2 linked regions of the Nothobranchius furzeri genome follow. The protein of the gene in region 2 purifies or fractionates together with the protein of the main gene of each other region. This does not show direct contact. Links are inferred from orthologs where the notes say so. Each region holds a gene or a part of one and is shown on either strand. Other genes may lie near its edges.

The links. The genes of interacting proteins can lie anywhere in the genome.
Region 1: the proteins of kif22 (region 2) and kpna4 purify together in Homo sapiens (affinity purification with mass spectrometry; 3 studies listed by BioGRID and IntAct, counting the BioPlex papers as one, with this or other methods). This does not show direct contact. The link is inferred for Nothobranchius furzeri from reciprocal best matches to the Homo sapiens genes KIF22 and KPNA4.

The regions. Positions count from the first base shown.
Region 1 is NC_091753.1:52,638,120-52,645,855, forward strand, and holds the start of kpna4 (importin subunit alpha-3), read right to left. Parts: upstream 3,924-7,736; 5' UTR 3,784-3,923; coding exon 3,715-3,783; intron 182-3,714; coding exon 137-181; intron 54-136; coding exon 1-53. UniProt on the Homo sapiens protein: Functions in nuclear protein import as an adapter protein for nuclear receptor KPNB1. Binds specifically and directly to substrates containing either a simple or bipartite NLS motif.
Region 2 is NC_091756.1:34,661,421-34,669,025, reverse strand, and holds the start of kif22 (kinesin-like protein KIF22), read right to left. Parts: upstream 4,135-7,605; 5' UTR 4,010-4,134; intron 3,762-4,009; 5' UTR 3,744-3,761; coding exon 3,556-3,743; intron 3,481-3,555; coding exon 3,353-3,480; intron 3,277-3,352; coding exon 3,125-3,276; intron 133-3,124; coding exon 1-132. Other genes in the region: pagr1 (PAXIP1-associated glutamate-rich protein 1), read left to right, coding at 4,869-5,040, 5,923-6,256, 6,342-6,430, 6,510-6,745. UniProt on the Homo sapiens protein: Kinesin family member that is involved in spindle formation and the movements of chromosomes during mitosis and meiosis. Binds to microtubules and to DNA. Plays a role in congression of laterally attached chromosomes in NDC80-depleted cells.

The sequences.
Region 1 (7,736 bases), on a different chromosome or scaffold from region 2:
ATGTCCTCATGAGGCACGTTTCTCCTCTTCAGAAGGTGTTCATCCCTCTTGTTCTGTGGTGCACAGAAATCACCGTGCACATATTAAAATCGTATGCAGATAAAACGCCTACAAAAATCTCAACAAGATTATATACCTTTCTGAGTTCCACCACTACTTCAGTCCTCTGTCTTCTCATGGTCTGCAGGAACACGACATAAAACGTGTTAAAACATGAATTTAAGCTAAAGCAACATTTTATATGCGTGTAAACATCATTTTCCCATTCAGAGGTCACCAATTGACCAACTCAAATCCTCATCCAGTTTCTTAACCGAACCGACCAATAATTTATAAATTTTAAAGGGTAAATATTTACCTTCAGTGGGGAAAATAATATTCCAAAACAGTAATGATCAAGTCACCTAAAAGCTTAATCATCTGAAAATGAGTCAAAAGTTGCTGTGACTGAAGATTTTGACATTTATTCACTAAATTAACTAAAAGGTGTACAAAGTCTTCAATTCGCAGATTTAGCTTTATTAATTGTTTTCGGTTTAGCTGTGTGTTCGTAAAGCGCGACACAATCACGAGGCACGATTAGTGCTGCCACGATTAGTCGATTCATCACGACGACGCTGACAAACAAGATAGTCAACTAGAAATTTAATAGTCGACATCATTTATTGTATGAGCATTTATTAAATCACGCTTTCTGTGGCACCTTCAGTGGCTGCTTTCTGCTCGAGGCACAAGCGCAGTCGTGGCCGTCCAGATCAGCCTTTGAATCAAGAATAACCGGCGAAAGATGACATCATGGCGAGTCCACAGCATAGCTCAGAAGGTGCAGAGCGTTTTACAACGACAAATAAACGAGAAGCATGCACAGTGCAAAATCTGCAAAGTGAAACTCTACATTCATGGGCGCACATCTGCGATGGACGAGCACGTCATGGCAGAGCGCAAAGAGTCGCCTCTGTAAGCTAATAACCTCTTGTTAGCTGCTAACATCAACAGAGAGTTACTTGTATGTATTTACTTGTAGGTGTAGCAACAACAGTAGTGGTGGTGACTTTACCTTTAGTACACGTTTGTATGCCACATTTTCCCTCTAATGTTACAAACGCTAATGATTTATTTTATCCTGCTACGTTAGTTATATAAAAGCACTCCTCCTCTTCAATGCACGAGTCTGGTACAAACCCAAAAATGACTTTTAGCTGGATACATTTGTGAGCACAAGTCATTTTTGTGTACACTTTATTTCTGGTTTAAGGTTACTACGTCCATTCGACTACAGCATTTGTATTAACAGGTTACAAAGTAGATTAAAGGTTGTTTGATAAGCTAAGCTATCATATTGTCTATAATATTAGAAGCTTGATAAAAAAGATCTTAAATTGGTCCAAAAATACATTTTGGATCCAACTTAAAACTGAAACAGAGAAAATTTGTATTAAACACTTTTAAGAATCACCACAATGTTTCCATGCTAATTATAAAAATGTGCTAATTTAAAATAAATTATTACATGCAGCATTGTACCAAACTTGGACCGCTATGATGTAGCTTCTCCACACAAATGTGGAGTAGGAAGTGGGATACAATCCACATTTTCTTGTTTTCTTGTCTAATGACAAACAATCACCTATGCCATTAAATATGACAGGTTGAATTGGGGATGGACCAAAAAAAATGGAGCTGTAATTTACCTTTCACTATACTAAAGCTGATTTGAAGTCAAGCACATCAGTGGGCAGCCCGATTCCACTACACAATTTTATGTTTACCCTCCTTAAAGAGCAAGTCACCCCCTACCAGATTCTTACTCAACTCCCACTTCCTGTTTGAAAAATGCAACAAATGCTGTTGCCTAGCAGACCGAGAGGGTTGAGCCGCTAACAAATACACACACTCACGGCATTGTGACATTATAATGTACCATCTAACATCATAGTGTACCTCTTAGCCAATAGCGACGGCAGATTTAAATTCAAATGCAGTGCTGAGTTTTTACCTGACGACGGTGCAACACTGACAGTTTTAGGCAGAATATTTAAATTTTAACTAAGATGCACTAAAGTGCCGAATTATTGACTACACGTGTCTGCAGCACGATTAGGCACTCATTTATATAGTTTATCAGGAGAAAAAAATGTTGATTTGGAGTGACTTGCTCTTTAATAGCATCTGATTAATAAATTCTCGAAAACATTGTCAACTGACATTTATTCTTATTTACCTGGTTTGCATATTTAATACTTAGTCAGGTTTTTGTTTTCTTTTTGATAAACGTTGGTTAAAAGATTGATTTTAATACCACGCAGAGCGTAAAATTATGATTCATGATGTCAAATTCTGTGTCAACTGATTAGGTTCATGAATGTTGTGCATCCCGTTATTAGTGACATTTTAGCAAAGAGTTATGGTGGAAAAAGTCTAGATATCGGCCATTGGCTGACCATGACCCCTACCAGTGGGCATTGGTATCTGCAATAGAAAAAACCCATATCAGTCGATCTGTAGCTTGAATTAACTTGAATGGTGTCAGATGTTATCGTGCAGAGTTGATGATGATTGCATCAAGACTATTTTATTTCAGGATCTCGAAGATTCAGTGGTTTATGTTGCCTAAATGCCACTTTTTAATCTTCCTGGTTATTTGCAAACGAATCTAAACACTTGATGCAATGTGAGTGAGCAACGTATTTAGTCACGTGATCAAACGATTAAATACACGTTATTTCAGTATGGTAATGAAATAAGTCTGAAGTTTCTGCTCACTGAGGAGTCTGGGTGTGTCCACCTCCTCCGAACCTCTTCCATACTTGTAGCTAAAGTTATTGACAAATCGATGAGCGATACGACTCTTGAGGCCTGCTTCTTCAGAGAAAGTAACGACTTGTCAAGCAGGATGTACGGGCACATCCCGCCTATAAACACCCGTAAGGTAAAATCCCGCCCGAGACCTTATTTCGCTACCATACGCTCACATGAGACAATGAGACACGCCGGGCTGACAGTAACTCACCTAGTATTGATCTGACGTTTGCTAACGTGTAGCTTGATCTACCATGTCACGAGGTCGACCAGGTGTTTATAGATTTCTAAATATTCGTTGGTGATAAACAAAACAATGGAACACACACGCATGACGTTAAGATCCAGGTAACTGGTCAGCTAAACGGCTAACTGGTTTCCGCCATTGTTTTTGGTTGTAGAGACGGGGGATGGGTGGAAATGCAACCAGCGCGAGCTCAGCTAGCACGCAAGTTAGCTTACTGCGGTATTAAACTACATTAATCCGCCGCTAGGCTGGCGTGTTTATCGATATTATATCTCAAAAGGAGACAACCTGGGTCAATTAGGTGTACTTTTACTGATATATGTGACATATTACACCGAACTAAACCGACTCGGGGGTGAAATGCTTCAGTTGAGCTCGCATGTCCCCCCGCGGCCCTGGCACATCCAGCGGAGGCTTTTCTGACATGTTTCTTAAGCAATGCGGTCTAACGGTGTAACAAAACGATAGAAACCGAACAAGAAGCCACTCTGCCAAAAGCCAACGGTGCTTAACGGTCGATTCGTGAAGGCCTTGGCCGGGCTCTGGCAGCAGAGATCCCGATGGTGGAAATTAGAAACGACGTCACAGCGCAGCCGAGAGGCAAGGCTGGCCGTGAACGCAGCAGCTAGCAGCGGCGAGCCTAAACACCTTATCCGCACAACTTTTACCTCCAAATCTCGACCCTTGTTCTTGAAATTCTTCAGCCGCTGGTTGTCCAGTTTCTCGTTGTCAGCCATGTTTGCTGTTCTGGTCACGTTAAATACACAGTTCGACTCGTGAATTTAGCGGGCGAGCTACCCTCTTTTTTTCTTGTTCCCGTTTCACGGCGTTTCGTTAGCGGACTACTTTTCGCTGCTCTGTCCGCGGTGCATACTGGGAATGCCGGTGGTGGAGGGGGGGGCGCCTCGCTGTGTCGTAGAGGAAGGGTGGGGAAATCCCCTCCACTCCGCTCTCATTGGTTTCACTGCCAACGTCCGTGGCGGTGGGAGCACCGCATCACATGTAGGCAAAACGCATGAAGTTTACTGGAAGAAAAAGGTCACATCTGGTCAATTATCACTGCACCATAATATAGATTTGTTATGGAAACAAAATACTTTAGTGTTTTACACTAGCGGAGTAATATAGCAGGTTTGACTTTACAGAAGGTGTTATTTGTCTTCCATGCAAATGAAAAACGTCATAAGACAGAGAACCCTCCCTCTCCTTATTTTACCCTTTGTGTTGCTCAAATTCAACAATAACATGATGTGATCAATAATAAAAAGACAAAATAACAAACAGGAAATGCGGAAAAATGTTTAATTAAGTTTTATTAAACAATTATGAGTGAAATTTCCTCTGTATATAAATGATATCTGTCAATATATAAGAGTGCAATGGTATTTAGAAATTTGATTTACTTCAGAATTCATTTGCATTTAAAGATGTGGGGCACACGCTTCATCAATACATTTGCTGTGGCTTCATTCTAGTAATTAATTAGTGAATGAAAGTCGTACTTGGTTATTAAAAAGCACAGACCCAGTTTCAGGAAGTAAAACATTTCCTGATATTTGGACATCTCGCCTCTGATTGGCTAACAGCAACACGACTCTACCACCAACTTCATTTGCTTTGCAACCATGATGTTTTTTTCCACATATAACACAAGCGTGGAGGTGCTCTGCTGTGTGGTGGAGTTGCTAATGCTAATGTTAGCTTCTGCTAGTCGGGACGTTCTCTGCTGTTTCCTGGACGTTAAACCAACAACAGCCTTCCCCATTGTGAGCCAAGATGGGTGAGTCCATGACTGTTAAGTGACAGTGTGACGTAGATCTGTCAGGCTTTTCTAATCCCACAGTTAGACCGTCTGTTTTCTATCAGAAGCTAATGCATCATTATCATTTTTGCAGGTTTAAAAAAATCACAAACACACTGAATATGATCAAATACATGAACTTCCTTTATTGTAAGATGACATTTGCTCAAAATAAACTTGATTTTCAAATAATATAAAACACAAGAAAATGATTTATAGTGATAAAATATATCTAAACCTTATTTGCTAATTTATTCATATACATTTGTAGTTTCAGAGAACTGTCTCAAGGCCCCTCATGACGGCTTTCTCAAATCCACCCCAATAATCCCAGATTTTTCACAAACCCCTCACAGTTTTTTTCCTCCCGCCTCTTCACCCCGCAGCAGTTTCACCACACGGATTAACTCTAATCTCTGCGTTAGCATCATCCTTTGACCTCGCAGTTGGTTTCAGTTGGATGAAAGACGACAGGAATCAAACATCAAAAGTAATCGTCCTGTAATCAGCTGCCACAGAATCGCTTCACTGCTGCGAAACCGAAGCCTTTAGATCTCATCTGAACCTTAATGTCGTCCTGAGTCTGTCTGAAAGGGGTCTTCATCAGATAAACCGTCCTCATGAAACCTTCTTCCAGTCCCGTCCCAGTGTTGGCTGAGGAGGGCTGGACGAACCACGCCCGGCCCGCCACACCCACCCCTCAAGTCCAGTTTCACAGACAGTGATTGGGGGCTCAGAGCATCTGGTAGAGCCTGTTTGTTGGCCAGAACCACAAGAGGAACTCCTCTGAGACTGTCCTGCCTCAGGACCTGAGAGGTAGAGGAGATCCGTTTTTGTTACAGTTAAAAACTTTTCACATGAAACCTTCATTGTATAACAAAACAGTTTCTTTCGTAGCTACCCTGTGCAGTTCTTTGCGAGCCTCGTCCAGCCGTCTCTCGTTCTGGCTGTCCACCGCAAACATCAGGCCAGCTGTTTCATAGTAGTAATGCCTCCAGTGAGGCCTCATCTTCCTCTGACCACCAACATCCCACACCGTCAGCTCTGGGCTTTTCCCGTCGATCTCCAAGGACTCCACGGTGAAACCAGCGGTCGGTACGGTAACCACATTCTCGTTGTATTTCAGCTTGTAGAGCAGGGAAGTCTTTCCTGAGCCATCTAGGCCCAGCATGAGGACTTGCACTTGTTTCTGAGGCTGGGATGCATGGGTACCCGTGACTGAAATGTGAAAAGGGTCTCGTCGTCCTCTTCCTTTTGTGCGACTGTGTGAACGGTGTTGTCTTCCTGTATTTGGTCTTTTACGAGGACCCAGAGATCCCTCCCCTTCTTGTCCCTCCACTACTTTCGGTAGAGCTATTTATAACCAAAGTGACTGTGCAACTATGGAGGACAGACACGGTTACACCTGTCTCCAGCCGTCAGACAGGAAGCCAGGAGAAGATTGTGTTTCCTTCACAACGGTGACATCGGTTATATTTTGGCTGAATGGAGCGGCTGACGGATTAACGTGGTGTTATCTTTGACGTGTTTGTTCTGCAAAAGCCTCCAGGCAGAAATGATCTGCAGCATTTATGTCAGATTTCATCTTTACAGAAAGCATTGATCATGACGTGTAAGTGCCTCAGTTCTGAGTCTGTAGGTGATTTATTAATGTTTTGATGTCTGTTGGCTTCGTCAGAACGTGATCTCTAGCTTTCACCGGAGCGGTTCGCAGCAGTGTGAGGCAGCTGGGATGAGAATTACCTCCTCTAAATTCGGAAAAGGGTAGAATGCCTTCTCCAGGTCGGGGATGAGGTCCTGAAAGATGGAGTGTCTGCAGTGATGCGGACGTTGTACCAATCTGTCGCGGTGAAGAGAGAGCTGAGACAGAAGCAGAGCTCTCGATCTACTTTCCTACCCTCATCTATGGTCACTAGCTTTGGGTGGTGACCAAAAGAACGGTCATCTGGGAGGGGCCCAGAGTAGATCTGCTGCTCCTCCACATCGAGAGGAGCCAGTTGAGGTGGCTCGGGCACCTGATTAGGATGCCTCCTGGACGCCTCCCTGGTGAGGTTTTCCGGGCACGTCCAACTGGGAGGAGGCCTAAAGTTAGACCAGGACACTCTGGAGGGACTATAAACCATGATGACAAATGACCCGCACTTGTATAGCGCCTTTCAGAGTAAGGATTCTAAAGCGCTTTACACTACAGTGCATCATCATCCACTCACACACACATTCGCACACTGATGATGATGAGCTACGATGTAGCCACATCTGCCCTGGGGCGCACTGACAGAGGCGAGGCTGCCGAGCACTGGCGCCACCGGCCCCTCCGACCACCACCAGCAGGCAAGTTGGGTTAAGTGTCTTGCCCAAGGACACAACAGCAGAATTCTCTGTCCGGAGCCAGGATCGAACCTGCAACCTTCCGATTACTGGACAACCCGCTCAACCTGGCCAGGGAACACCTTGGGATTCCCCCGGAGGAGCTGGCCATGTGACTGGGGAGAGGGAAGTCTGCTTAGGCTGCTGCCTCCAAGACCTGACTCCGGAGAAGTGGACGATAATGGTTAGATGGATTAAACATTACGTTATGTTTGCAGCTAAATTAATCTTATTCTTTGGTCTTAGGTTCCCAATGTCATCCAATCATCTGGCTTTGAAGCCAAAAGGTCTAAATATTTAAATTACTGCAGATTTTTATTAGAAAAAGAAAAAAAAGCAACATATTAAAGTCAATTTTTTTTGTGGAACACAGATTTCATGTCTAGTTTTTACGTGCCAAAGAAAAAAGGAAGCAGAATAATTAAATGATAATTATTTTATTGCACCCCCGATAACATTTTACAAGCTGGGATTCAAAGTTTTATTTTTCTATGTAACATTTACTTTTAACAATCATCTGTT
Region 2 (7,605 bases):
AGGAACAAAGTACTTATCGAAATCACAGGAGGAGGAGATGACTGTGTGGGTGAGACCTGGTATTAAAATGTTCTTGTCTTTGTCTTCTCTGATGGGCAAATCCTGCGAGTTCTGAGATAGAAGATCGAGAACCTGAGAAAACGAGAGAGGAAAGTTGTGAAGATCGCCCAAAACACGACCTCTTTAGATGTTTTAGTCTGCAGGTGTAACTGGTGTCTACAGCTCCCAGTCAGCAGGACACCCAGTTGAAACGGTGCTTTTGGCTCAACAGTGTCATGGTATTCCATGTAGGTTTGAATGAAGGCAACTGAATGCGTTTGTTTCTTGAGGACATCTCTCATCTGAAGAGCTTGGTCAGTTCTATAGGAACATGCAGAGTTGTTGCTTAACTAGCTGAAATTGCATTTGAATCCCCCTCCTACCTACCCTCGGAGGAGCGGCCGTTATCAGTGGAGACGGGCTTGTTTCCCCCGTCAGAACTTCCGGGTAGTTTTGCAGCACGTTAAATTATGACACGTCTCTAAATAAAGTTACATTTTCTAGTGCAGAGAGGAGACAATCCATGGAAGCACTGATTTGATCTCATTTCAGAGAAAAATAGAACAGGTCAGATGCACCTAATAAATAAAATTACTAACAAACCCAGGAATCTGTTTCTTTGCTTCACTGTTCTGGTGCTGAGAATATCACTAATGCGGATCAAAGGAGATACACAGATGAATGCACCTCTTATTTATTATTTGGAGACTACATTTACTGCAGCTGGCAGAGATTTATTCTATTGATACACGGAATTTACAGAATCATTTTAAATGTTAATAGGGGAAGACTGCAGGAGGGAGCTGTAAAATACAGGGGGTCCCCAGCAAAAACAAGAAACTTTACAAGTCTGATGAAACCCGCTGATTTTCCATCAGGCAGTCACGGGGCAGCTCCAACGACCCAGTGGCTGTGCTGGTCATGTTATTGAGCTCAGTCCGGCTCGGCCGTGAACGAGCCGAGGCGACGTCGTGTTCTGCTTAAGAAGAAGTGTCCAACGTGTTTTTACGCTTTCTCCGAGACATGTCACGTCACTAAGTTGTTAACGCCGCGCGCTAACATGTCAACAGTGCAGCGTAGCCTGCTGGAGGTTTTAAGGGTTCAGATGAAAACACCCAACCTCTCAGGCTGCTCACACATCGATCTTAAGTTGTCGCTGTTGCGCTCACGCCGTAATACAGTACTAGATGCGGTTAAAGTCAGTCATGAAAAAATAAATTTTACATGAGTAAGTGATGCTTAGCCTGGTGGGGGGAGGAAAACCTGGCCTAATAAGCACTGGAGGAAACCCTGTCAAGATCGTCAACACTCGTTTATCTTAATGCTATTGAAACATGTAAACCAACAAGCATTATATCCACTGCTACCTTTCTAATTTTAAACTCAGTAACTATTGCTGTAACTTCACCTTGCCCTGCCTGATCCTCCTTGCTGCCCGCCGGCTGTGATCACAAGCGGCAACATAGTAGTTCCCGCTGCTTCTTCGGGAAACAGCGCCAAAAATAAATAAATAAAACTTGGGATCTTGTAGGCGTGGCGGTGGGATTTCAGCCGTGGCGGGCCGCCACGGCTGAAATCCTGGGAGGACAAAACAGGTGACGCGCCTTGCTCCACAGCAGCGAAAAGCATCAGGCACAAATAAAGTAAAAGACAGAAAACATAAAAGGAAATGAGCCGACATGAACGATCGCGTGTTCAATTTGTTTTTGAGGTGGCGACACCTGATTTGATAACGTTACTCAGGACGCAGATGTCTGGAGCACGTCAACAATCAGAGCTTTGCATGCGCAAGCTAGTTAAGGGTAGGATGGGGGTGAGGGGAATGTTAAATTGCAAGAGGGTAAAGGTCACAATTTGGTTAAATGTCCGTTTTACGGCGGGTGTCAGTACCGACGCTCTGGCACAGTGCGTCGCCTCCCGACACGCAGGAGCTTGTCACCTGCTGACAGCAGGCTGCTGTCTTTTCCGTGGACTACATCTTGCCGGTCATTATCACGTGACAGCGACTAGTCGATGACAGGCATAAAAAGTCACTATAGTGAAGTCGACTAGTGACTAGTTCATACAACCCCTGCTACTGCTCCCCAGAGTGTTCTGCAGTATAATCAGCACGTTCTCTTTGAACTTGATATCAAATTTTCGCCTCCTCTTCGTCTCCGCACCGTTAAAGTTACCCTCGCAGTCTATCACTGGCAAATCAAAAGTGAGACGATGACACAACCGCGCCCCCCCCCCCCCCCTCGTGGTACTTGCTTGTTACCACATTTCACCTGGCCACAATAAAAAACCGACCATTATTCACCTCCGCCAACTCAGACACCGGCCAAAATGTGATACCCGGCAGTTAACTGAATACAGGCCAATATTAGAGGATTTACGGTACTCTGTTTTTCCACAGAAAAACACATTTGTCCCGTCAACACAAGTTTAAACTAAATCCAAAGGAAATTCAGATTTCCCAGCTTCCACCCAGTATTCAAATGCACCATACACACACAAATCAGTCAGGTGAGAAAAGAGTCTCAAAAGGATTGTTGTACTTGTAAACTGATCTGTGTGTAATGTCATTTTGTCTGAGTGTACCAGGTGGTTTATGTGTGTAATTAAAGATTTTAGGGGTGTAACGGTGCGGTAACGATAAAATAGTATTCAGTTCGGTGTTTTGAAGAGCTTGGTTTGATTCATTTTTGGTATATTATTATATTTATTTATTCTAAAGCGGCTCCTACAGTGAGCAGAACCAGGTGTCATCACAGGCTGCTGATCTAGCATGATGTCTTCAATTATTTTCACAGGTTATTTGCGCATGAGTCTAGAATATTGAACCTTTTCACAATATTCTAATAGTCTGAGATTTTGAATGTGGGGTTTCATTAAGCTGTAAGCCATAATCATCAGTTATAACAAGGGCTTGAAATATCTGGCTTTGCATGTAATTAAGTTTTTTTTAATGTATTAGTTTCACCTTTAATCTGCTTTTGCATCATATTCTAATATTTTGAGCTTCATCTGTACAGTGATTCCCAACCTGAGGAGACTGGAGACCACTGTGCATACAGTAATGATGTAACCGGGACAAACAAACCTTTTCATTATAAATTTCCAAATATGACATTCCTACGCTGTAGTCCCATCCTTCATCCTGATCCGTGGCTCGGACCAGATTAAAGACCTCCTCAACAGCTAGAGGGATCACGCCAGGCTGCTCTGGACTTCCCAACATGGTGTGAGTCTTACCTGTGAATGAAGCCATGCAGGTTAATGTTAGGAAGAAAAACACACTTATTCCAGTGACAATGGCACCAGAACACACCAGCTCCTGTTGGCCCATAAGCAAACACGCTGGCGTTTTGTCCTTTCAGTATATTTGGTAGAATCGACTTCACTGATGAGAGGAAAACCTCTTCCTGTGTTGTGTCCTCTCCGTGGAAAACATCGAAGCTGGAACAAAAACCAAACCATGTTTAGAGTCAAATGTCGTGAGGAGAGGAGGACACTTGGGAGAGTGATACTGACTGGTATTTCACAGTTTCTGTTGCATTCCTCCAGTTGACTATCTCCAGGTTCTGGGAGTCCAGGCCTCTGACACACGGACCCTCGTGTTTATCATCTTGTTTGCTCATGTAAGGCCGCAGACGAACCGCTACCCGAACCCGGGAGGTCTTCTTGTTTCCACCATCTGCTACCAACACACGCTGCGCCATCTTCACACAAACAAAGGCCTGGATAACGAAAAAGCCAGAGTGATGTTCATCCACTTTATCAAACTCTATGCCACGCGAATATTTAGTATAATACACACCAGTAAATGCATGAACAGAGCATAAATGGAGTATTTGAAGGTAAGCTCTAGGTTTTCATCATTGCGTCACGAGAAGCAAACACACGAAAGGAGGTAATGTTGTTTCCAAACTAATGTTTCCTCGAAATCTGCCACTCCGCTTTTTTAAGTTTATTGGGGAAAGCTTACCGTTAAAAACGTCTTCCAAAAAACGCGTTTTTATCGTCCAAACATTCCCAGCTTCTCCTTTTAACAATGGCGATGGGCCAAAACTTCTAACTGAAAAAATTTTAAACGAAAAGACTGAGACCGGAAATGGGTTTTAACCAATCAGAGCTCGCGTGAACGCTGGCGCCTTTCAGCGATCTCATTAAGCGCTAAATAATTCATAAAACATAATTGTAGTTTTGTTGTATTTAATAGTATATTTTAAAAACTAGTATATTGAGTAAAAGTTAAATTAAAGAGGTTTTACTTTTCCCCTCCAAACAATACGAGTCGTTTAGCCACGGCACAGCTAACAGGAAGTTACGTTTAGCGTAGATTTCCACTTCATCTCCTTTCACATTTTAGACAGTAGAAGCCCTGGAATGACTTAGCCATACGCATTTAAATCAGCGGGATTTGGAGCCCGGTTAAACGCGACAACATCGTCAAGCAACCTATTCAGCCAAAATGGCGCTATGTTTATGTCCATGTTGAATCTTTTAATGCACTTAGCTAGCCTCATGGAGAGCTATGATGATCCCATCACTTGGGAATTACTTTAAAATCAAATTTTAACGTGACCAACGCTGACTCACGACAAATCGGTAATAACAATGAAGGATTTCCTTTATTTCTGCGGTGCGGTTTGACGTTAGCTAGCCCAGTAGGAATAAAACAAATAAACCTAAATATTCTCAAATTGCTTATTACGCTTTAGTAACAGGCGTAACTTGACTCGTTACCCGTGTAAATAATAACTGCCATTATCTCCCATTGCTAATTATTATCAAACATGCTGCTGTTTCGCAGATCCTATTAAAGTTGTCCAGCAGCAGGTAGGATGCAGACTGAAGTCACCAACTCTTCTCTTAGAGAGGGTGTTGAGGCTCTAGGTGTGAATGATCCAGAGAAATCTGCTGCAGACCAGGAGGAAGGCGGCCTAGAGAAGCAACAGGACTCAGAGATGACAGCTGTCACAGAGGAGAAAGACACCACTGCAAAGGATGACACAGGTAACTCCCTTAAAGGATAAATAACTTTGTAAACTCTTGGAGTCAGAAATCCGTCTGATTAGCACCAGATGTGGCCAAAAGCAATCACTCAAAGGCTGTATCAGTAAATAACAAGCCACATAAAGAATAGGGCTGCTCAATTGTGAATAATAATCAGAAATATTGTGTTTTTGGTCAATATTTAATTCCCAAGTATTTAACTAGATTACTTCTTCAGTTAGGACACACTTGTATTTATCATTTGCAGTTATAAAAAAAATACACCAAAAAAAGTCAAATGATGCCACAAACACACTTGACACACCAGACCTTGTAAAATGATCTGTGTTCACTTTACTCAAATTCTCCTTACTTCTATGTTTTGAACGAACGAACTTTTGAAATAAATACTCAAAACCATAACTCGTAATAGCAGAGCAATCATGTGATGCTTAAAATAGCTAGAGTTCACATTTTAAGACAAGTGCAGATACAGGATTACACCAGCAGGTGAAGGAGTGACCAATAAAACTTATGAGGGTTTAAGTATCTGAATTTACCACAGTAGAATTAATCTAGGACACCATGAATAGGAAAATAATTAAACTCGTGTTTTGTAACATTTAGTTGTTAAAACACAGACACCAGCTAAATAAACTAATTTCTTCTGAGTCAGTCTCATGAATAAAACATGTCCAGATATCCAAGCAGGAAGTAAGTGGGCATCAAAGTGTCTTTTTTAAATACCAACATATTACACAGGCTTTGGAAGATGCAGAAGTGTACTTCATTAGTAAAGAAGAACAAAATGAGAGTGCTTGCAACATAAAATAAGACAAACATAAATAACTTCTTATTACATTGTGTCAAAAAATACATTTGTGTACTTTTCTGTCTTCTCAGATGAGAACACAGAGGTGGTGGAAGGAGGGACACAAGAGAATGAACCTCAGGGGGAAGCAGGAGGGGATGCTGAAGAGGGGAAGCTGGCTGCCGGAGCAGACGACGAGTGGGAGCTTCCCTACAGCGACGAGGAAATGGAGGACCCCAAAAACTGGATGCCTGCTCCTCCTGAGATCAAAAGACTTTATGATATCCTCGCTAAAGGGGAGATGCTGGAATTGAACTTTGTGCCCCTTCCTAGAAGGCCTCCCACACCTGAACGCACCCCTTCACCCGAGAGAGACGAAGAGGAGGAGGCAGCAAAGGAAAGGGAGAGGCTGGAAAGGGAATGCAAGTCAGTAGCTCTCCTTTCTTTTTCTTATCTTCTGTTATTTGGATAAATTTGATTTACCACTCCCCCCCCACCCCCCCACCCCCAGGCCTCCGTCTCCAACAGAGTTTGACTTTGATGAGGAGCAACTTCATTCAACTCCTAAAAACTCCTTCATAAACAGACGCAGAACACCAGGTTTGATGATTTATTTTTTTATATCCTGATTTCCTGGGTTCAGCGAGGAAAGCCAAACTGTTTCCTCCCTGCATTCCAGGCTCGTCAGCTCGCTCCTCTGTGAAGAGAGAAGCTCGTCTGGACAAAGTGCTGTCGGACATGAAGCGCCACCGCAAAATTGAGGAGCAAATCAGGCGCACGGGCAGAGATCTATTCAAGACCGAGAAGAAGGTGGAGGAGGCCCTTTCCCCAAACAGCCAGAAGGAGCGGGAGAAGGAGAGGGAGCGAGACAGCAACCCAGACACCATCTTCTCCCCGAGACAGAGGAGATACTGAAGTATTCAGTCCCAGAAGCAATCAAGAGCTTCTCAGGGCTCTCGCAAGACTTTCATTTTCTAATGTTCACGTTTTGTATGTTTTTTGTATGATGGCAATAAAGCTTTTAACTTTTAACACTGTTAACTGGGTCATGATAACTAATTAAAAAGAAGTTGGGTTTAAAATCTAGAACCTCAGTTTTCATGTTAAGGTGTACATATAAGAAGGCAAATCATAATCTGAATCTAAATAACAGAAAAGGACTAAGTTCTTCCTTAGTGATCAACTAACCCTAACCCCAACTTGAATGCAGCTGTGCTCAGTTTTCTTTAAGCTCCTGGGACCCAAACATGTATTTGGTGTGATTTAAAAAAAAAGCATGTAGCTATTACAGATTAGTCAACTGTAATTAACAGAAACAAAATTACGAAAATTAAAACTAAATAAAAATTTTGTCAAATATCCTAAAAAAAAGGAAAGACAATTTTTTAAGTCAATATCAAGTGTCTGTAAATAATAACAAAAAGGTCTAAGTAGAAGTAGCAGAATAAAAAGGTAAGGTGCAAGGAGCCAATTTCCATAAATGTGGGCCCTAGAAAGGTGCAATAAGTAAGAATTTAACAGAGAAATATTAAAAATAAACTCTAATAGAGAGCCTAAAGAAAATGAATGAGGTAATAAAAACCTCCTTATTATCTTTACTTTGTATTAAAATAATAATTTGTCAATGTTCCATAAATTGTGTTTGGATTAATATGTGCAGATCTTTAATTTCACCGTAAAACCTCGACTGATTTGGAGCTCCTCCCTTTTTGCTCAGCTCATGGATCAATGGGCTAAAAGAACTATTTTCTAATCCGCCTTGCCTCACACCCTAA